Linked DNA regions of Lonchura striata. The protein of the gene in region 2 purifies or fractionates together with the protein of the main gene of each other region. This does not show direct contact. Links are inferred from orthologs where the notes say so. Each region holds a gene or a part of one and is shown on either strand. Other genes may lie near its edges.

Region 1 (10,434 bases), on a different chromosome or scaffold from region 2:
CGGGGAGTTTTGGGGGATCCCGGGTGGGTCCCAGGAGGTTTTGGGGGGCTCTCAAGGGGGTTTTGTGGGGTCCCAGGAGGTTTTGGGGGGTCCTGGGCCATCCCGGGGGGGTTTTGGGGGGTCCCGGGGGTTCCCACAAGGTTTTGGGGGGGTCCCAGGAGTTGTTGGGGGCTCCTGGGTGCTTCCTGGTGGCTCCCAGGAGGTTTTCGGGGTTCCCAGGAGATTTTTGGGAGGTCCTGGGGGGGTCCCAGGAGGTTTTTGGGGGGTCCCAGGAGGTTTTGGGGGGTCCCCCTAACGCAGCAGCGACCACTTGATTTGCTCCTTCGCCGCCTGCAGCACCTGGGGACACAGACGGGGACACCTGGGGACACCTGGGGGGGCCAAGGACACCCCTGGAAGGGTCTGGGGGGGCCCAAAGAGGTCGGTGGTGCCCTGGAGGGGTCCCAGGGGGTTTTTGGGGGGTCCCGGGGGTCCCCCTAACGCAGCAGCGTCCACTTGATCTGCTCCTTCGCCGCCTGCAGCACCTGGGGACACAGACGGGGGGGACAGCTGGGGACACCTGGGGACAGGGGGGACACCTGGGGGACACCTGGGGGGGCCAAGGACACCCCTGGAAGGGTTTGGGGGGCCCAAAGGGGTCGGGGGTGGGATCCTGGAGGGGTCCCAGGGGGTTTTGGGGAGGTCTCAGGAGGGTTTTGGGGCTCTCAGGATTTTTTTGGGGGGTCCCAGGGGGACTTTTAAGGATCCCAAGGGGTTTCTGGGACTCTCAGGATTTTTTTGGGGGGATCCCAGGAGGTTTTTGGGGATCCCAAGGGGTTTTTGGGGCTCTCAGGAGTTTTGGGGGGTCCCAAGGGGTTTTTGGGGTCCTACCTGTGACACCGTCTGCTCTGTCAGGGGCACGTCCTCGCCCTGTGGGGACAGGGAGGGGACAGGGAGGGGACAGTGGGTGCCTGGAGCAGGGGGGGCACCCAGGATTCCCCCTCAGCTGCCCCCAAATCCCCCCAAAAACCCCAAATTCTCCCCAACTCCCCCCTAAAAACCCCAACTCCCTCCCAAGACCCCCAAATGCCCCTAAATTCCCCTGAAATGCCCCTGAAATCCCTCCCAATCCCCCACAAAAATCCCAGATCCCCCCCAAAAAAAAACTCAAATCCCCCCCAAAAACCAAATCCCTCCCAAACCCCCAAATTCTCCCCAATCCCCCCTAAAATTCCCAAAGCCCCCCAGTCCCCCCAGATCCCCCGTACCCGCACGGCCACGCGGTGCACGACCTGCTGGGGGTCACTCTCCAGGATGACCCTGAGGGGACACGGACAGGGATGGGACAGGACAGGGATGGGACAGGGACGGGGACAGGGATGGGACAGGGACAGGACAGGACAGGGACAGGACAGGACAGGGACAGGGACAGGGATGGGACAGGACAGGGATGGGGATGGGGACAGGGACAGGGACAGGACAGGGACAGGGATGGGACAGGACAGGGACAGGACAGGAATGGGACAGGACAGGGATGGGACAGGGACAGGGATGGGACAGGACAGGGACGGGGACAGGGATGGGACAGGACAGGGATGGGACAGGGACAGGGATGGGACAGGACAGGGATGGGACAGGACAGGGATGGGACAGGGACAGGACAGGGACAGGACAGGACAGGGACAGGACAGGAATGGGACAGGGATGGGGACAGGGATGGGACAGGGACAGGGATGGGACAGGGACAGGGATGGGACAGGGACAGGGATGGGACAGGGACGGGGACAGGGACAGGACAGGAATGGGACAGGGATGGGACAGGGACAGGGATGGGACAGGACAGGGATGGGGATGGGGATGGGGACAGGGACAGGACAGGGACAGGGATGGGACAGGACAGGAATGGGACAGGGACGGGGACACGGATGGGACAGGGACAGGGATGGGACAGGGACAGGGATGGGACAGGGACAGGGATGGGACAGGACAGGAATGGGACAGGGACGGGGACAGGGATGGGACAGGACAGGGATGGGACAGGACAGGGATGGGGATGGGGATGGGGACAGGGACAGGACAGGGACAGGGATGGGACAGGACAGGAATGGGACAGGGACGGGGACACGGATGGGACAGGGACAGGGATGGGACAGGGACAGGGATGGGACAGGACAGGGATGGGACAGGGACGGGGACAGGGATGGGACAGGGACAGGGATGGGACAGGGACAGGGATGGGACAGGACAGGAATGGGACAGGGACGGGGACAGGGATGGGACAGGACAGGGATGGGACAGGACAGGGACAGAGGGGACAGGGACACCTCAGCACTGCGGGGACAGAGCCCGGGGTGGCAGTGCCAGTCCCAGGGTGACAGTGACAGTCCCAGGGAGGTGACAATCCCAGGTAGGTGACAGTCCCCAGGAGGTGACAGTGGCAGTGAACAGTCCCAGCGAGGTGACAGGGGAGGTGACAGTGGCAGGGACAGGGACAGGGAGGTGACAGTGACAGTGGCAGTGGCAGGGACAAGGACAGGGACCCACCCTCCATCCACGATCTCGTCCACGGCCAGGAACAGCCCCTCCATGTTGTCCAGCAGCGCCCGGCGCTCCACGTTCTTCCTGAGACAGGGACAGGGACAGGGGACATTGGGGACATGGGGACAGAGAGATATGGGGACATGGGGACATCACGGATACCCCACAGGGACATCGGGGACACCCCACAGAACTGTCCCCAGGAGTGTCCCCAGGTGTCCCAGGTGTCCCCAGGTGTGTCCCAGGTGTCCCCAGGTGTCCCCAGGTGTGTCCCAGGCGTCCCCAGGTGTCCCCAGTGTGTCCCTACCTCAGCATTTGACTCAGCGAGTCGAACAGGCAGTTCAGCACGGCCGTCAGCATCAGCTGGGGACAGAGGGGACACGGAGGGGACACAGAGGGGACAGAGGGGACAAAGAGGGGACAGCGGGGTCACATGGGGACACAGAGGGGACAGCGGGGTCACAATCCACCTGGGGTCCCCCAGCAGCCCTGGGTGTCCTCGTGCCCCTGCAGAGTCCCCACGGTGTCCCAGCAGTGTCCCCGCTCTGTCCTGCTCTGTCCCCCCATGTCCCCCCCATGTCCCCGTGTCCCCGTGTCCCACCTCGTTCTGGGTGGCACTCCCGATGACGCAGCAGTACAGGTCGATGCTGCTCTTGTACACCACGGTCAGCCCGTCCAGCAGCGCGATCTCACCTGGGGACAGCCACACTGTCACCTGCGTGTCACCTGTGCCACCCCTGTGTCACACAGTGCCACCCCCGTGTCACTCAGTGTCCCCTCAGTGTCCCCGTGTCACTCACTGTCACTGCGGTGGGTCTTGCTGAAGATGTCCTGTGTCCCTGTGACCCCGTGTCACCCCCGTGCCACCCCTGTGTCACTCAGTGTCCCCTCAGTGTCCCCTCGGTGTCACTCACTGTCACTGCGGTGGGTCTTGTTGAAGATGTTCTTCTCGAAGGCGCGCTGCTCCTTCACGCTGGGGTACGTGTCATCGTAGTACTGGGACACAGACACGGGACGTCATGGGGACATGGGGACATCATCGGGGACATGGGGACACAGACATGGGGACATCATCGGGGACATGGGGACACGGACACGGGGACATCATCAGGGACATCGGCCACCCCTTGACACCCGTGCCACCCACCCTGGCCCTTGCCCAGAGCCGCATCCCCCTCAGGGCACTGTGCCCCTGTCCCCAAGGTGTCCCCTGGCTGTCCCCAGTGTCCCCTGAGTGTCCCCAATATCCCCCCTGGGTGTCCCCTGGGTGTCCCAGTGTCCCCACCTTTGCGAAGAGCCGCTCGCCGTCGTTGTCGAGGATGATGATGGCCTTGACCGTGTACAGGGACGGCTCCTGGGGACGGGACAGGACAGGGACAAGGACAGTGCCACCACACCCCTGGGGACAGGGACAGGGACAGTGCCACCCCCGGGACAGGGACAGCGGGCGAGCCTGTGCTGGGGTCACTGTCACCATGTCCTCCCCATCCCTGTCCCCACGGCCTGTGCCCCCCGTCCCTGTCCCTGTGTCCCTGTCCCTGTGTCCCTGTCCCCTGTCTGTCTGTCCCTGTCCCTCTGTCCCTGTCCCTCTGTCCCCTCCCTGTCGCTGTCCCAGCGGGTCCCGCGGTGCCGGGGGTGCCCAGGACCAAGTTCTGTGATGCACTGACTGCCCAGAGCCACAGCCCAGTGTAGGACAGAACCCCGGCCTGAGTGCCCAAATCGTGCCAACCTGTGCCAAACCGTGCCAACCTGTCCCCAAAACTGTCCCCAGAGCCACAGCCCAGTGTAGGACAGAACCCCGGCCCGGGCACCCAAACTCTGCCAAACTGTCCCCAAATTGTCCCCAAACTGTCCCCAGTGTCACTGCCCAGTGTTGGACTGAACCCCCCCAGTTCCCCCCGTGCTTCAGTTTCCCCTCAGTACCCCAGTTCCCCCCGTGCCTCAGTTTCTCCTCAGTACTCCCAGTTCCCCCGTGCCTCAGTTTCCCCTCAGTACTCCCAGTCCCCCCGTGCCTCAGTTTCCCCTCAGTACCCTCAGTTCCCCCCGTGCCTCAGTTTCCCACCAGGCCCCCCAGTCCCCCCCGTGCCTCAGTTTCCCCTCAGTACTCCCAGTCCCCCCCATGCCTCAGTTTCCCCTCAGTACCCTCAGTTCCCCCCGTGCCTCAGTCCCCCCAGTCCCCCCCGTGCCTCAGTTTCCCACCAGGCCCCCCAGTCCCTCCCGTGCCTCAGTTTCTCCTCAGTACTCCCAGTTCGCCCGTGCCTCAGTTTCCCCGTCCCTCACCAGCACCAGCGTCTCCATTTTGCCTCCGCCGCTGCCGACGTGGAGCCGGAAGAGCGCCCGCCGCTGATTGGCTGCTCGCCTGCCAATCACTCTCGTTGGCCCCACCCCGCCGGCCTGATTGGTCCAATTCTTCCTCCACCCCACCAATCGCTGCGCGCTTCCGCGCGGTGGGCGGACCAGTCTTTCCCGCGCTTCCCTAGACAGGCGTTGATTGGACGATCTAGCTGTCAATCACGGCTGCACGGCGCTGCCGGAAGCGGAGGGGGCGGCGCAGTTGCCATAGTGACCGGGGAAGCGCTGACGTCACCGCTTTACCGGGGCTGGGCTGATTGGCTGGCTCGGCGCGCACGTGACCGGAAGTGGGGCCTGTTCTGCTGATGGCGCCCGGAGCGTGTCACGGGGGGGGGGCGGGGACAGGGGGGAGATTTGGGGAGATTAATGGGGGCATTGGGGACATTTGGGGACATCTGGGGACATTTGGGGACATTTGGGGACATTTGGGGCCACTGGGGACATTTGGGGACATCTGGGGATATTAATGGGGCCGTTTGGAGAACAGCGGGGGACATTGGGGGACACTTGGGGACAGCTGAGGACACTTGGGGACATTTGGGGACAGGGGTGGCACCTCTGTATCACCCACCAGGGGCTGGGGACATCTGGGGACTCTGGGGGACAGCGGTGGCACCCCCGTGTCATCCGCCAGGTGTTGTGTCTGGCCCCTCCGTGGCTGCTTCGTCCCCAGCCCTGTCCCTGCAGTGTCCCCAGGGTGTCCCCAGGGTGTCCCCAGGTGTCCCCAGGGTGTCCCTGAGTGTCCCCAGGGTGTCCCAGGGTGTCCCTGAGTGTCCCCAGGGTGTCCCCAAAGTGTCCCCAGAGTGTCGCCAGGCTCACCTCCGAGGGCTCCTTCAAAAGGGGAAGGTGGCAATCAGTGATGGGGGGGGGTGGGACACCCTGGGGACATTCAGGGACACCCAGGGGACACTTTGGGGACACTTTGGGACACCTGGGGACACCCTGGGGACATTCAGGGACACCCTGGGATACCCAGGGACACCCTGGGGATACTCAGGGACACCCTGGGATACCCAGGGACACCCAGGGGACACTTTGGGGACACTTTGGGACACCTGGGGACACCCTGGGGACATTCTAGGACACCCTGGGATACCCAGGGACACCCTGGGGACATCTGCGGACACCCTGGGGACACTCAGGGACACCTGGGGACACTCAGGGACACCCAGGGGACACTTTGGGGACACTTTGGGACACCTGGGGACACGACAGTCAGGTGGGGCGGAGCCAGGCTGTGACTGACAGCTGCGGTGACCAATCAGGAGGAAGCAGCCACCCCCAGCTCTGAAATTAACAATGATGATAAAAACCAATTAAAAAAAAAACCCAAGAGACATTTATTGAGGGGGGGGGGTACAGGACACGGGGGGGTTCCGGCCGCTCCGCTCGGGAACTACGGGGGGACCCGGCCCCGGGGGTCCCGGGGGATTCCCGGAGGTCCCGGGGGGAATCCCGGGGGGATCCCAGGGGTCCCCAGAGGGTCCCAGGGGAATCCCGGGGGGTCCCGGGGGGATCCTGGGAGGTCCCCAGAGGGTCCTGGGGGATCCAGAGGGGTCCCGGGGGGATCCCGGGGGGTCCCCAGAGGGTCCCAGGGGAATCCCGGGGGATCCTGGGGGGTCCCAGGGGGGATCCTGGGGGGTCCCCAGAGGGTCCTGGGGGATCCAGGGGGGTCCCGGGTGGTCCCCAGAGGTTCCCAGGGGGGTCCCGGGGCTCTCCCGGCCCAGCTCCGGCTCCGGCTCCTGGGGCTGCCCCGGCTCCCGCCCAGCTCCGGCTCCTGCGGGACAGAGGGGCAGGGTCAGCACCGGGATCGGGATTTTGGGATTGGGATTTTGGGATTGGGATCGGGGCAGGGTCAGCGCCGGGATCGGGGTTGGGATTTTGGGATTGGGATCGGGGCAGGATCGGGGTCAGGATTGGGTTCGGGATTGGGGCAGGGTCAGCACTGGGATCAGGATTGGGATTTTGGGATTGGGATTTTGGGATTGGGCTCAGGGCAGGATCGGGGTCAGGATTGGGATCAGGATTGGGGCAGGGTTAGCACTGGGATCAGGATTGGGATTTTGGGATTGGGATTTTGGGATTGGGCTCAGGGCAGGATCGGGGTCAGGATTGGGATCAGGATTGGGGCAGGGTTAGCACTGGGATCAGGATTGGGATTTTGGGATTGGGATTTTGGGATTGGGCTCAGGGCAGGATCGGGGTCAGGATTGGGATCAGGATTGGGCAGGGTCAGCACTGGGATCAGGATTGGGATTTTGGGATTGGGATTTTGGGATTGGGATTGGGGCAGGATCGGGGTCAGGATTGGGATCAGGATTGGGCAGGGTCAGCACTGGGATCAGGATTGGGATTTTGGGATTGGGCTCAGGGCAGGATCGGGGTCAGGATTGGGTTCGGGATTGGGGCAGGGTCAGCACTGGGATCAGGATTGGGATTTTGGGATCGGGACTGGGGCAGGATCGGGGTCAGGATTGGGTTCGGGATTGGGGCAGGGTCAGCGCTGGGATCAGGATTGGGGCAGTCAGGATCGGGGCTGGGATCAGCACTGGGATTGGGATCAGGAGCAGCTCCGGTGTTGGGGGCTCCAGGAGGGGCAGAGCCCCAAACCCAGCTCCAGTCCCAGCCCCAATCCTGGCCCAAATCCCTGCCCAGATCCCATTCCCATCCCAGATCCCATTCCCATCCCAGCCCCAAACCCAGCTCCAGTCCAAGCCCCAATCCTGGCCCAAATCCCTGCCCAGATCCCATTCCCATCCCAGATCCCATTCCCATCCCAGATCCCATTCCCATCCCAGCCCCAAACCCAGCGGCAGTCCCAGCCCCAATCCCAGCTCCATTTCCATCCCATTCCCATTCCCATCCCTGCCCCAATCCTGGCCCCATTCCCAACCCCAATCCCTGCCCAGATCCCATTCCCATCCCTGCCCCAATCTTTGCCCCAATCCTGCCAAATTCCCATCCCATTCCCAAATCCCATCCCAGATCCCATTGCCAAATCCCATCCCATTCCCATTCCCATCCCTGCCCCACTCCCATTCCCAGCCCCAATCCCAGCTCCATTTCCATCCCAGATCCCATTCTCATTCCTGCTCCAATCCCATTCTCATTCCTGCTCCAATCCCATTCCCATTCCCAGCCCCATTCCCATTCCCATCCCTGCCCCAATCCTGGCCCCATTCCCAACCCCAATCCCTGCCCAGATCCCATTCCCATCCCTGCCCCAATCCTGCCCCATTCCCATCCCATTCCCAAATCCCATCCCAGATCCCATTCCCATCCCTGCCCCATTCCCATTTCCATCCCAGATCCCATTCCCATCCCTGCCCCACTCCCATTCCCAGCCCCAATCCCAGCTCCATTTCCATCCCAGATCCCATTCTCATTCCTGCTCCAATCCCATTCCCATCCCTGCCCCATTCCCATTTCCATCCCAGATCCCATTCTCATTCCTGCTCCAATCCCATTCCCATCCCATCCCATTCCCATTCCCATCCCTGCCCCGATCCCCATGACCCTGCCCGATCCCAGCCCCAGCCCCGCTGCAATTCCCACCTCCCCTTTCCCTTCATTCCCATCCTTTTTCCACCTTTTCCTGTTATTTCCCCATTTTCCATCACTTTATCTCCCAATTTTAACCATTTCCTCCATCTCTTCCCAGCTTTTTCTCCTTTCCAACCTTTTCTCGCTTCCCTCTTTTCTTTTTTTCCCCCAATCTTCTTTTCCCCCTTTTTTTCCATTTTCCCCAACCCTTCCCTTCATCCCTCCCACTTCATCTTTTCCCAACCTTTTTTTTCCTGTTTTCCCACTTTTCTGCCTGAAATCCCTCCCATCGTTTTATTTTCCTCTCCCTTCTCCCTGACCAATTCATAATTTCTTCTCCCAATTATCTTCCCATTTTTTCCCACATTCTTTCCCATATTTTCCCCATATTTTCTCCCCATTTCCCCATATTTTCCCCATTTTCCCATATTTTCCCCATTTTCCCCCAATTTTTTCCCAAGATTTTCTCATATTTTCCCCACCTTTTCCCCATATTTTTCCCTTATTTCCCCCACCTTTTTTCCCATATTTTTCTCCCCCTTTTCCCAAATTTTCCCCACCTTTTTTCCCTATTTTCTCCCAACTTTCCCCACCTTTTTTCCCTGTTTTTTCCCCCATTTTCCCCTCCTTTCCCCCCGTTTTTCCCCTCACCTGGCCGTTAAAACCTCCTCCCTCCTCCGTAGCTGCCGCCGCCGCTGGAGCTGCCGTAGCCGCCTGTGGAACCAGGAGGGGATTCAGGGACACCCAAAAATCGGGGGGGGACATTTGGGGACCCCCAGTGACCCCAGAGCCCTGCCAGGACATTCTGGGATCGCCCCAGTTTGTTTTGGGGTCCTCCCAGCACATTTTGAGCCCCCCCCAGGTTATTTTAAGGCCGCCCCAATACAAATTAAGCTCCCCCAAGGTGATTTTTGGGGTCCTCAATGTGGTTTTTGAGGTTCCCCAGGATATTTTGGGGCTCCCCGGGTGATTTTTGGGGACTCACCGCTGCCATAGGGCCCCGAGCTGCGCCCCCCGAAGCTGCCCCCGGGACATTTGGGATATTTTGGGGTTCCCAGGGGGGTTTTGGGGGTTCCCCAGGTGATTTTTGGGGTTTTTGGGGACTCACCACCGCCGTAGGGCCCCGAGCTGCGCCCCCCGAAGCTGCCCCCGGGACATTTGGGATATTTTGGGGGTTCCCCAGGTGATTTTTGGGGTTTTTGGGGACTCACCGCCGCCGTAGGGCCCCGAGCTGCACCCCCCGAAGCTGCCCCCGGGACATTTGGGATATTTTGGGGTTCCCCAGGTGATTTTTGGGGTTTTTGGGGACTCACCGCCACCGTAGGGCCCCGAGCTGCGCCCCCCGAAGCTGCCCCCGGGACATTTGGGATATTTTGGGGTTCCCAGGGGGGTTTTGGGGGTTCCCTAGATGATTTTTGGAGGTTTTTGGGACTCACCACCACCGTAGGGCCCCGAGCTGCGCCCCCCCAAAGCTGCCCCCGGGACATTTGGGATATTTTGGGGTTCCCAGGGGGGTTTTGGGGGTTCCCCAGGTGATTTTTGGAGGTTTTTGGGACTCACCACTGCCATAGGGCCCCGAGCTGCGCCCCCCGAAGCTGCCCCCGGGACATTTGGGATATTTTGGGGGTTCCCTAGATGATTTTTGGGGTTTTTTGGGACTCACCACCACCGTAGGGCCCTGAGCTGCGCCCCCCCAAAGCTGCCCCCGGGACATTTGGGATATTTTGGGGGTTCCCTAGATGATTTTTGGGGTTTTTGGGGACTCACCGCCGCCGTAGGGCCCCGAGCTGCGCCCCCCGAAGCTGCCGCCCTTCATGGGCCCGAAGCTCGAGGCCTGGTTGTTGTAGCTGCCGAAGTCGTTGTAGCTGCCCCCGCCCCCGAAATTGCTGCCTGGGGGGACAGCGGGGTCAGGGGGGACAGCGGGGTGACAGGGGGACACTGGGGACAGTCCCGGAGCTGGCAGGGACAGGGAGCACCCAGGGGTGGCCCCGTGCTTGGGGAATCGGCAGATTTGGGATCCCC
Region 2 (10,815 bases):
CAGCATCAAAACCTGGGGAGATACTGAGCTATGACATGCCCACCCCATTGAGTTGCTTTGCCATGGGCCTGGTTTGTTCAGCTCCTTCTCTTTCTTGGGGCTGCTGCTTGTTCCACATGGAATTTTGATTTAGAAACAGTGAGCAAAGTTCTGTTTGGTTTATTTTATATATTTCTCAAGTTGTTCAGCAATCCAACAACAGATCCAATTTTTGCTCTTGCAACAGCTGCAATGTCTATTTTTGCAGTCAAAAAACTGAAGAGTTCAGCTGGGAAAACAAAGTGGGCTTTACTTTAATTGCTCTGACAGCAAAGTCACAGCCTAAGCTCTGCTAAAACAAGAATTTAAATAAAACCCCACCACCATAAATGGCAAGAAAACAAAGTAACAATAACAACCTTTTGTAAATTGAATTCTCCCCCCGAGTGGGAACAGAATAACATTTGAGAGGGTGGCACAGACTGTGCATCACATCAAAGCTCAGCACTGCAGCAGCTCATGCACAGGCAGGGAGCTGCAGCCCCTTCTCCAGAGGGTGACCCCGGTGTCCCACCTGCTGGTGACAATGATGACATCCTCAGAGATATTGGCCATCTCTTTGATTGTGAGGTAACACATTCTTCTGAGGGTTTGCTGTGGAAACGTGGAGAAAAAGATTAAACTCAGTGGTAAATACAAGTTCCAAACGGTAAATGAACATAAAAATTAAATGGTTCACTTAGAAAAATAAGCTTTCAAACAAAACACATTGCTTTCAATTCAAAGTTAGAAGTGTAGAACTACATTTGATCCCTGGGTAAGAGCCAAACTCCCTGACATCAGTATTTAGTAAAATGATAAGAACTAATACAAAAATCCATGATAATTATCAAAGAAGTGATGCAACACATCCGTACTCAGAAGCCCCACAATCATCAGTTATAAGCTTTGAAAATACCTTTGTTATTGTAAAAAAGAAATGGAAGCACATGTGGAGTGTTGGCATTGTCTTTGAAAAAAATTAACTTTATTTTATATAATATTTTAATTAACTTTATAATATTTATAAATACAATATTTATATAAAATTTATTTTATTTTTTTTATTTTATAAAAAAGTTAACTTCTAAAAATCTACTTTTTAAATGAGGATATGAGAAACATTTCAAACACTCTGTACTTCCAAAAACGAACAGCTACATCTTCCTTGAACAAATCTCTAACAAGCAAACCACTTTAAATTAAAATTAATGAGCCCCATCACATGAAACACACTGCTCTGAGTTCTCACACTCTGCAGAAGAGATCACAGAAGGACTTTACACTCTGCTGAGCCCAAAGATGAAATCCCAAATTCAACCCCCAAACCATTCTGTGATTTTTAGGGTGCTCCCATCCCTTGCCTCAATGTGATGAAGGCTGACCCATGTTCTAAGGAACAGCAGCCTTTGATCTGCAGGCAGTTTTAGGATTTCCAATTCAGCAGATGGCGATTTGCAAGGGGAAGCAACAAGTGCCACAGATTTGTGAATCCAGGCTTTGCCATTATCCCCACTTTTACAGCAGGAATTCACTCAGAACCCACCTCCACCCCCAACCCACCCCACAGAACAACCACAGGTTATTATCCACTCCTCTGTTTCCAAAGCTGGAACTGCCTCCAGAGCTCCTCCTGTGCACTGCTTGCCTCCCACATCCCAAATTCCAAAGGTTTGGCAGCTCCTGCAAGCCCAGGCAGAAGCAGGGAGAGGCAAAGCACCAGGTCCTTACGTCGTTAGACTGAAACAACCTGGTCATGGCAAAAAAAGCTTCCGTGGCTTCCGTGGTTCCGAAGTGTTCACCCTGGAATTGGCAGAGAGGAAAAGCAGGAATTATCCAGCTCCTTTTGCTAATGCCCTCCCACACAGCAGGAATCTCTCCTTGGAGACTTTCTCCTGTAAGAAACCATCCTTGCATTCCCAGGGAATTCACAATTCTCTCCACTCTAAATGCCCTCCACAGGGATGGAAGCTTCCCAAGGTGTTTTCCTTGTGGAAAACTTCTTTCCCTCTAAAAAGATTATATATTTCCCACTAAAACATTATTAAAATTCATTCTGGATGGAGAGAAATCCTAACAGTTACCTGGTTCAGCAGGTAGAGGATCTTGGTAAGGATGTGGAGGCATCTTCGTGGGTTTATTGGGGTTTCATTGAAGAGCCGTGCCTGGAAATGAAACAAATTCTGCTTGAATAGATCCCAATAATAATAACAATTTTATTATTATTTCTCTTTCAACATCAAAATTAAATGAATCTGTTTCCAGATGAGCAGCTTGTAATATGTATTTGTATTAAATATGAGTCTCAGAGAATGTGCAGAATTAAATGAATGTTTCCAGCTGAGCAGCTTGTAATTTTTATTTCTATTAAATATGTGTCCCAGAGAATGTGTTCTTGCATCTTTCGTTTGCAGCAATCTGAACAAAGCACAAACAACTCAATTTGCCATCTGGAACAGGCAAAAATGCCTGAAAATAAAACATTTTTTGTCCAGGAAGAGCCCCCTGAGATGCCACATGTCCATATGGAAGGCAGAAGCCACGTGTCATCTAATTATCCTAAAAAAAACCCTCATTAACTGCAGATAAAATTAATTTATTTACACTCTCTGTGATTTTTATTTAATTCTATGAATTTAGCCATCCACATTTCCCCACAATCATTCTGCAACGCTTCCTGAAGGAAAAGATCATTAATGAAATGGCATTATCCTGTGATTACTCCTACCTCCTGAAGCACAGCACTCTTCTCCAGATGCTGGAAAGGATTGGAGCCACTCCCTGAGGAAAAAAAAGAGACCTCTCAGTTGAGGAAAAAAAATTAATTCCTCACACATCCCAACTGGTCTGGACAGGCAGGAACACCCCCAAAATTTTACCAAACCACCTCAAACCAGTGATGTTCCTCTCTGAATAATTGATGTTGGCCATCAACAGCTTTAAATCCACTTTCTTAAGTGATATATTCAGAGTTATAGAAAGAAGGTAAAAAATAAAAAAAAAAAGGAGAGGAAGAAGAAAACTGTTATTTAAAATGCCTTTTATATACTTAATATTTTTAATACCTAAATGGCCTTTACATAGAACTAATTCCTTTTTCTACTTTCCTAATGTACCTGTTTTTATTCCTTCAGGCACCAAAAGCAGAGATGCAGATCAGGATGTGAAAAAAAACTTTTCAGCCACATTAGTCCCACCCACAGCCTCACTTCTGCTCCCGATCCTCTCCTCCCAAACAGGAATTCCTCATTTCCAGTTCACTTAAATAATGTTTTGTAACCAAACAAAAAAGTCCACATTACAAACTCCAAATAATTAGCTATTAAATTAAAAGTAAAAATAATTTAAATATAATTTCTTAATTAAATAATTTAACCTTAAAAAAACCTTACCTAAAAAAAAAACAATTAATCATTTTATAACTTATTAATAAAATATCATAAAACTCACAACTTATAATATCAATGTAAGTCCCTGGTGTGAATTCCAGATACGCAGGCACAGCTCAGACAGAGAAAGTTTGGAAAGGCTCCTCTGAAACATTTTGGATTTTGCTTTGTGCAGCAAAATGACTAAAAAGAGAGGTTTCTTTTCTTTCCATACATCAGCTCACCGTTCAGGGTTAGGGTTATTATTTAGGGTTTATTATATAAATACATAGGGTATGTGTGTTATTATGTTATATAGGTTTAGTATATGTATATAAACACATGTAATCAACTCTCCTTTTTTTGAGGGATGAAACATCTGCACTGAGCAGAGACAGGGATAAAATCCTCTCTAAAAATCATCTGTGGATAAAGGGAGAGCAAACAGACCCCAATTCCTCTGGATTTGTCACCAGAGGGGAGAAATATTTCGGCAGTCAGTTCTTACAGCTGAAACACAAATACCCCACGAGCTGTGAGAGATCACAGACCCACGGGATGGCTCGGAAGGAGATTTAAGGATCATTCACTTCCACCTCCTGTCATCAGCAGGGACACCTTCCACTATCCCAGCCCGCTCCAGCCTGCTCTTGGCCACTTCCAGGGATCCAGGGGCAGCCACAGCTGCTCTGGGAATTCTATTTCACCTCAGCATCCCTCTCCACTTCAGCCATTCCCTCACCCCTCAGCCATTCCTTCCCCTCAGCCTCTCCCTCAGCATCTCACTCACCCCTCAGCCTCTCCCTCACCTCAGCATCCCCTCAGCATCTCCCTCACACCTCAGCATTTCCCTCACCTCAGCCATTCCCTTACCCCTCAGCATCCCCTTAGCAATTCCCTCACCTCAGCATCCCCTTAGCAATTCCCTCACCTCAGCACCCCCTTAGCAATTCCCTCACCTCAGCATCCCCTTAGCAATTCCCTCACCCCTCAGCCTCTCCCTCACCCCTCAGCAATTCCCTCCCCCAGCATCTCCCTGCCCTCAGCATCCCCCTCCCCTCAACTCAGCCTCTCCCTCACCTCAGCCATTGCCTCACCCCTCAGCATCTCCCTCACCCCTCAGCCTCTCCCTCACCCCAGCTCAGCCTCCCCTCACCTCAGCATCTCCCTCAAACCCCTCAGCATCTCCCTCACCTCAGCCATTCCCTTAGCAATTCCCTCACCTCAATATCTCCCTCACCCCTCAGCATCTCCCTGCCCCCAGCTCAGCCTCCCCTCAGCTCAGCATCTCCCTCACCTCTCTCATCTCCACCCCGCTGTCACCTCGGCATCCCCCTCACCTCTTCCCCCGCTGTCACCCCAGCACACCTCAGCCCTCTCCTCGCCCCAGCACCGCTCTCCTCACCCCCAGCCCCCCCGTACCGGACTCCTCGTCCTTTTTATCGAACTTCTTGATCATGGCGGCCCCGCTCCCTCCGAGCGCCGCCGCCTCAGCTGCCCCGCCGGAAGCCCCGCCCCACCCCGATCTCTGGCACCTGATTGGATAGCCCCGCTGTCAATCAAACTCAAGCCAAGCCACGCCCCCACCCGCGCGCTGAAAGGGCGGGGCCAGAGCGAGGGCGCGTCTTAAAGGAGCCGCGTCGTTATTTTGTGAGGGGAGCGAGGTTGCGCTGGCGGGCGGAGAGAGAAATTAATGAATAAATGAATAAATGAATAAATATAAACTATCTGCGCTCCTGGCTGAGAAACAGGGACTCGTGTGGGGTTTACAAGGAATTTCCATTGAATTCACATGGAATTCACATCGAATTTACACCGAATTTCCATGGAATTCACATGGAATTTCCATGGAATTCACACGGAATTTACATCAAATTCACACGGAATTTCCATTGAATTCATATGGAATTTCCTTCAAATTCACACCGAATTTCCATTGATTTTTGCACTGAATTTCCATCAGATTCTCACGGAATTTCCATTGAATTCACACGGAATTCACATCAAATTCACACTGAATTTCCATCGAATTCACACTGAATTTCCATCAAATTCACACGGAATCCACATCAAATTCACACCGAATTAACAGAGTTGTATTAATTTTTATGTGAGATTGAAAATGGAATAAAAGTTCTTAAAATGCTTTTTAGTGGTCTCATTTTGGGGTTAGAAATGGGTATATTCTGATAAATTTATTTTGGAATTATTCCTCTTCCTGCAGGTGGCTGAGATTACAAAACCAAGGTGAGGTGTTGTTTTGTGTGAGGAAAAACAGGTTTTTTTTGGAGTATAATAATAAGGGTTTTTTTGAGTAGAATAAAAAGGTTTTTTGGAGTATAATGTTGTGTTTGGTATTTTTTTTTTAAGAGTGTCAGTGATCTTTTAAAGGGTTTTTTGAGGTTAAAATGTTAAAATTCTAGGAGATTTGATGGTGTTCAAATGAGATGTATTATATATTATATTAAATATTATATATAGCACTTATTACATGCATTATTATAATATATAACGTTTTCTATATTGCAATATATTAAATGTTGTGTTTATGATATTGTTTAGTATAAGTTATATTTTATTACATAGTATTATTTATTAAATGTGTTATATATTATATACTATGTATAACGTTAGATATATTACATATTGCAATATATTATGTAATGTGATAAAATGTGATATAATGTAATGTAATGTAATGCAATGTAATATAATATAATATAACATAATATGATATAATACATAATATAATGTGATATGATATAATGTGATGTGATGTGATGTGATATAATATAATGTGATGTGATATAATTAATATAATATAATATAATATAATATAATATAATATAATATGTAATACAATGTAATGTAATGTAATATAATATAACATAATATGATATAATATTATATTATATAATATAATGTGATATTATATAATATGATACGATATTATATTATTAGAATAGAATAGAATAGAATAGAATAGAATAGAATAATTTTATTACTTTATATTATTTTATATTTTACTTTTTATGATTTAATTTTATTTATTATTTATTATATATTATTTAATATTTATCATTTAATACTTATTATTTTTATTTATTATTATTATATTTCCCATTTCATTAGCCTCTCCGCTGAGATTACTCTCTCCTTCCTCAACACTTTACAACCCCCCCAAAAACCTGGGGCACAACAGAACCACCAAAACCCCCAATTTTAGACCCCCAACCTTTTTTTTAACCCGGGAACCTCCGGGATTGGCTTTTCCACGGCTGGGCAGCAGGAGCAGGCCATTTACCCCAGGATTTATCCCCCCAGGACAACGAGGGAAAATCAAACCCCCGCCAGGGATTCTTCCCCAAATTTCCTCCCACCTCCAGAAGCTCAAAGCTCTTTTTGCCACGCTCCCAACTCTGCATTTTCCACTTGGATTTTCCTCATCTCAGCCAGCTGCCGGCACAGGAACTGCTCCCAAACCAAATCTCAAAGCAAATCCCACAAACAAGTTTTTCCTGCAGTTTTTCTCCCTCCGGAACAACTTCAAGCGCTTGTAGAGGTCGAGGAGAACAGCGCAGCTTTAATTCCAAGGGGAATATTTGGATTTTATTTCCAAGTTTTCCCAGTGATTTAGCACGGATTCAAGACCCCCAGCCTATCATAACTCACAGCAGAGCCAAGTGGAATTTGATTATTGCTGACTTTAAAGATAAGCTTTAAAAAGGAAAGATAAACTTTCACCGTGAAAGTAAACTTTCAAAAGGAAAAATAAAATTTAAAAGGGTTTCCCCAGCTGACTGGAATTAATTCTAGAAAGCGGAAAAGGAACCAAATCCCACGTGATGGACATTTATTTATTCCTAGAAAGTGAGGGTGGAAAATCTTCCCTCTTCCTTCTCGCCCCTCAGAGAATGCAAAAAGGTCCAAATTCACTTTTGTTTTTTTTTTTTTTCAGGAGAATCCCTCTGGGAATGTTATTTACAGGGAAAAGGGGACGTGTCCAAACCTCCAGCTGGAATTTTCACAACCTCACGTTTGGCTCAGTGCTCTTCCGTCCTCGAATAATTTAATCGCAATTTTCACAACCTCACGTTTGGCTCAGTGCTCTTCCATCCTCAAATAATTGAATCGCAATTTTCACAACCTCACGTTTGGCTCAGTGCTCTTCCGTCCTCGAATAATTTAATCGCAATTTTCACAACCTCACGTTTAGCTCAGTGCTCTTCCATCCTCGAATAATTTAATCGTAATTTTCACAACCTCACGTTTGGCTCAGTGCTCTTCCGTCCTCGAATAATTGAATTGCAATTTTCACAACCTCACGTTTGGCTCAGTGCTCTTCCATCCTCGAATAATTGAATCGCAATTTTCACAACCTCACGTTTGGCTCAGTGCTCTTCCGTCCTCGAATAATTGAATTGGCTCAAATAAAAGCTCGGGACCAAAATCTGCTCATTCTCTTTGGGAAAAAGCTGATTCTCAAAAACATCTGAGAACTGGAAGTCCCCAAACCAGATGCCGAGACCTTGAGCGACCCTGTGGCCAAAATCCCCCGGCGTGGTTTCACAGCTGGCTTTCCCCTCGCACCGAAAAGGAGCTGAAGTTCCAAAAAATCCCGCCGGAGATCCCCCGAGGTGGCCACAGCTCCTCTGGCTTCCTCAGCTGTGGGGTCACGCTTCTGCCACCCCAGCAGGGACACATTTCCCTTGGAAAGTTCTGGAAAGGTTGGAGTCGCTCCAGGCCGAGCTCATAAATGCAGCAGTGGCTCCTTCCCACCACCTCGTTTTTACCGATTCTGACAAATTTCAGCCAAAAAAGGAAAATTTTGGTGGTAAAACCGTAGCAAGTGTTACATGCGGTGTGTTTTAGCTTTTATGAGTGCGTGACGTTGATGGCAATGCTTAGCATTGGATCTCCTCCTTCTCCTCTTCTTCTCCTCCTTCTTCTCCTTCTCTCCTTTTCTTTCTCCTTCTCCTCCTCCTCCTCCTTCTCCTCCTCCTTCTCCTCCTCCTCCTTCTCCTTCTTCTCCTCCTTCTCCTCCTCCTCTCCTTCTCCTTCTCCTCCTCCTCCTTCTCTCCTTCTCTTTCCCCTTCTCCTCCTCCTCCTCTCCTTTTTCTCCTTCTCCTTCTCCTCTCCTTCTTCTTCTCCTTCTCCTCCTTTTCTCCTTTTTCTCCTTCTCCTTCTCTCCTTCTCCTTCTCCCTCTCCTTCTCAATTTCCTCCTCCTCCTCCTTCTCTCCTTTTCCTTCTCCATTTCCTCCTCCTCCTCCTTCTCTCCTTTTTCTCCTTCTCTCCTTTTTCTCCTTCTCTTCTCCTCCTCCTTTTCCTTCTCCTTCTTTTCTCCTTCTCCTTCTCCTCCTCCTCCTTCTCTCCTTCTCCCTCTCCTTCTCCTTTCCTATTCCTCCATCTCTCTTTTTTCTCCTTCTCCTTCTCCTTCTCCTTCTCCTTCTCCTCCTCCTTTCTCCTCCTCCTTTCTCCTTCTCCTCCTTCTCCTCCTTGTCCTCCTCCTCTCATAAAAAAAAAACAAAAAAACTCATAATTCCCATAACACAAAATGTTACCATAGGATTTTTTTCCTTTCTCCATCCCTCTTCATTTCCAAGGTGTGGGACTCAGATTCAAAGGAAGAAACAGAGTTTCTAGCCAGGCAGAAACCTGGGAAAGTGCTGGGAAAGAATGCAAATAATTCTTTATTTCTCTTGTTTTTCACATTGTTTATAGTGAATTTCTATCACTGTGCGTCAAGCACTTTGCACCAATGCTTTGGGTTGTTTTCATTTCAGAACCAATGGAGTTGGTCCTCACAAAGCTCTGTATAAAGAGCAGTGTATTTTGAATAAATCGGAGTTTTACTCTCACAGCCTTCTGGTCAGAGTCTTCTCATTCCCATCCTGCCTCGACAGCGACACCAAGGCAATATTTTGACTTTTCCAGGTGCCTCCAAGCACAACGCGCAGCGCTGCTTTGGGACAGAATCCAGGCCCAGCAACTGCTTCTTGCTGCATTAATAGTAGGTAATTAAAATGGAAGTAATGAACCTGATGGGAAACCATCCCAGGCTGCCAACCTGAGCTTTACGAACTATTTTTTGGGATTGTTTTCCCCGAGCACATGGAATTATCAGGGATGAATCACAAATACTTCTGAGAAGACGAACTCACGGCCTGAGCACGTTTTGTGCGCTCTGTGCAAGAACCTGTGAGAGCTGATAAGAAATTAAATCCTGCTGAAATCCTCACAGGAAAACAAAAGTTGGAGTTTGGCCCATTCTGCTCCTTGAGGCAGGGTTTTGGTTTCTCTTTCTGGAAAATGAATTCAAAGGAATATTTTTGCCCTAGAAGGAGATGGATCCATCCAGGATGGGTGTTTGTCTCCCTTTGGACACTGGACTAATTTCTAGTCCTGACCTAAAATCCAGCTTTTTTTTACCCAAAAATCTCCAGTTCAAGAATCACATCCAACAACACAACCCCTTCCACGAGCCACATCCATGGAGAAACCTGGAATTCCTCAACCACTTCCACTTGTGGTGCTGCATCCCCCCAGCTTCCCCTTCCTTGGAGCTGCTGGGGGGCCTCAGGAATTCCCACCTGGATGGTGAAGTGTCCCTTGACCACACCAGGGACTTGTGCATGGAAAAGGTTGGAGAATTGTCCCTGTCAAGCGCCCCAGTTGCCTGAGCAAGGCGAGGAACGAGAGATAATCCCTTATTTCCTGAAGGCTTTGGAATATCACAGCCTGGAATCATCCCAAGTGGAAAAGTACCATTGTTAGCAGAGCTTTGAAAAGAAAACCTCCAGGAATTCCCAGCTTGGGTGGAAACTTCCTGATTACTTATGGGAAATCATGGAATCATAGAAGGACTTGGAAAGGATCTTAAGGATCACCCAGTGCCACCCCATCCATGGCAGGGACACCTCCCACTGTCCCAGGGGCTCCAGCCCCAGTGTCCAACATTTCCTTGGACATTCCAGGGATCCAGGGGCAGCCCCAGCTGCTCTGGCAATCCCAGCCCAGCCAGGAATTCCTCATTCCCAAAATCCCATCCCTGGCTGCCCTCTGGCAGTGGGAGCCATTCCCTGGATCCTGTCCCTCCATCCTTGTCCCCAGTCCCTCTGCAGCTCTCCTGGAGCCCCTTCAGGGCCTGGAATGTGCTGGAAGCTCTCCCTGGATCCTTCCCTTCTCCAGGGGAACATTCCCAGCTCTCCCAGCCTGACATTGGATCCATCTCCTCTCCAAGAAATTCATGGACCCAAGGGCTTCACTTGGAATCCCAGGAAGCCATGAAGGGTCTCCTTTCCCTTTTCCTTTCTTTTCTATCCCCATTTTCCATAAAAATCCCTCGGGATGGATCCTGAGTGTCCCAAATCCCAGAATCCTGGACCAGTTTGGGTGGGAAGGGACCTCAGAGCTCATTCCAGGGCCACC

The links.
Region 1: the proteins of COPG2 (region 2) and COPZ1 fractionate together in Homo sapiens (co-fractionation; 5 studies listed by BioGRID and IntAct, with this or other methods). This does not show direct contact. The link is inferred for Lonchura striata from reciprocal best matches to the Homo sapiens genes COPG2 and COPZ1.

What each region holds. Positions count from the first base shown.
Region 1 is NC_134629.1:8,454,244-8,464,677, reverse strand, and holds the start of COPZ1 (coatomer subunit zeta-1), read right to left. Parts: upstream 4,849-10,434; 5' UTR 4,816-4,848; coding exon 4,798-4,815; intron 3,917-4,797; coding exon 3,803-3,916; intron 3,514-3,802; coding exon 3,432-3,513; intron 3,211-3,431; coding exon 3,119-3,210; intron 2,881-3,118; coding exon 2,825-2,880; intron 2,602-2,824; coding exon 2,524-2,601; intron 1,300-2,523; coding exon 1,248-1,299; intron 910-1,247; coding exon 871-909; intron 525-870; coding exon of another isoform or gene 477-524; exon of another isoform or gene 340-476; coding exon 292-339; 3' UTR 1-291. Other genes in the region: HNRNPA1 (heterogeneous nuclear ribonucleoprotein A1), read right to left, coding at 9,071-9,126, 10,180-10,302. UniProt on the Homo sapiens protein: The coatomer is a cytosolic protein complex that binds to dilysine motifs and reversibly associates with Golgi non-clathrin-coated vesicles, which further mediate biosynthetic protein transport from the ER, via the Golgi up to the trans Golgi network.
Region 2 is NC_134607.1:71,934,144-71,944,958, reverse strand, and holds the start of COPG2 (coatomer subunit gamma-2), read right to left. Parts: upstream 4,920-10,815; 5' UTR 4,846-4,919; coding exon 4,809-4,845; intron 2,800-4,808; coding exon 2,747-2,799; intron 2,184-2,746; coding exon 2,103-2,183; intron 1,822-2,102; coding exon 1,750-1,821; intron 634-1,749; coding exon 554-633; intron 1-553. UniProt on the Homo sapiens protein: The coatomer is a cytosolic protein complex that binds to dilysine motifs and reversibly associates with Golgi non-clathrin-coated vesicles, which further mediate biosynthetic protein transport from the ER, via the Golgi up to the trans Golgi network.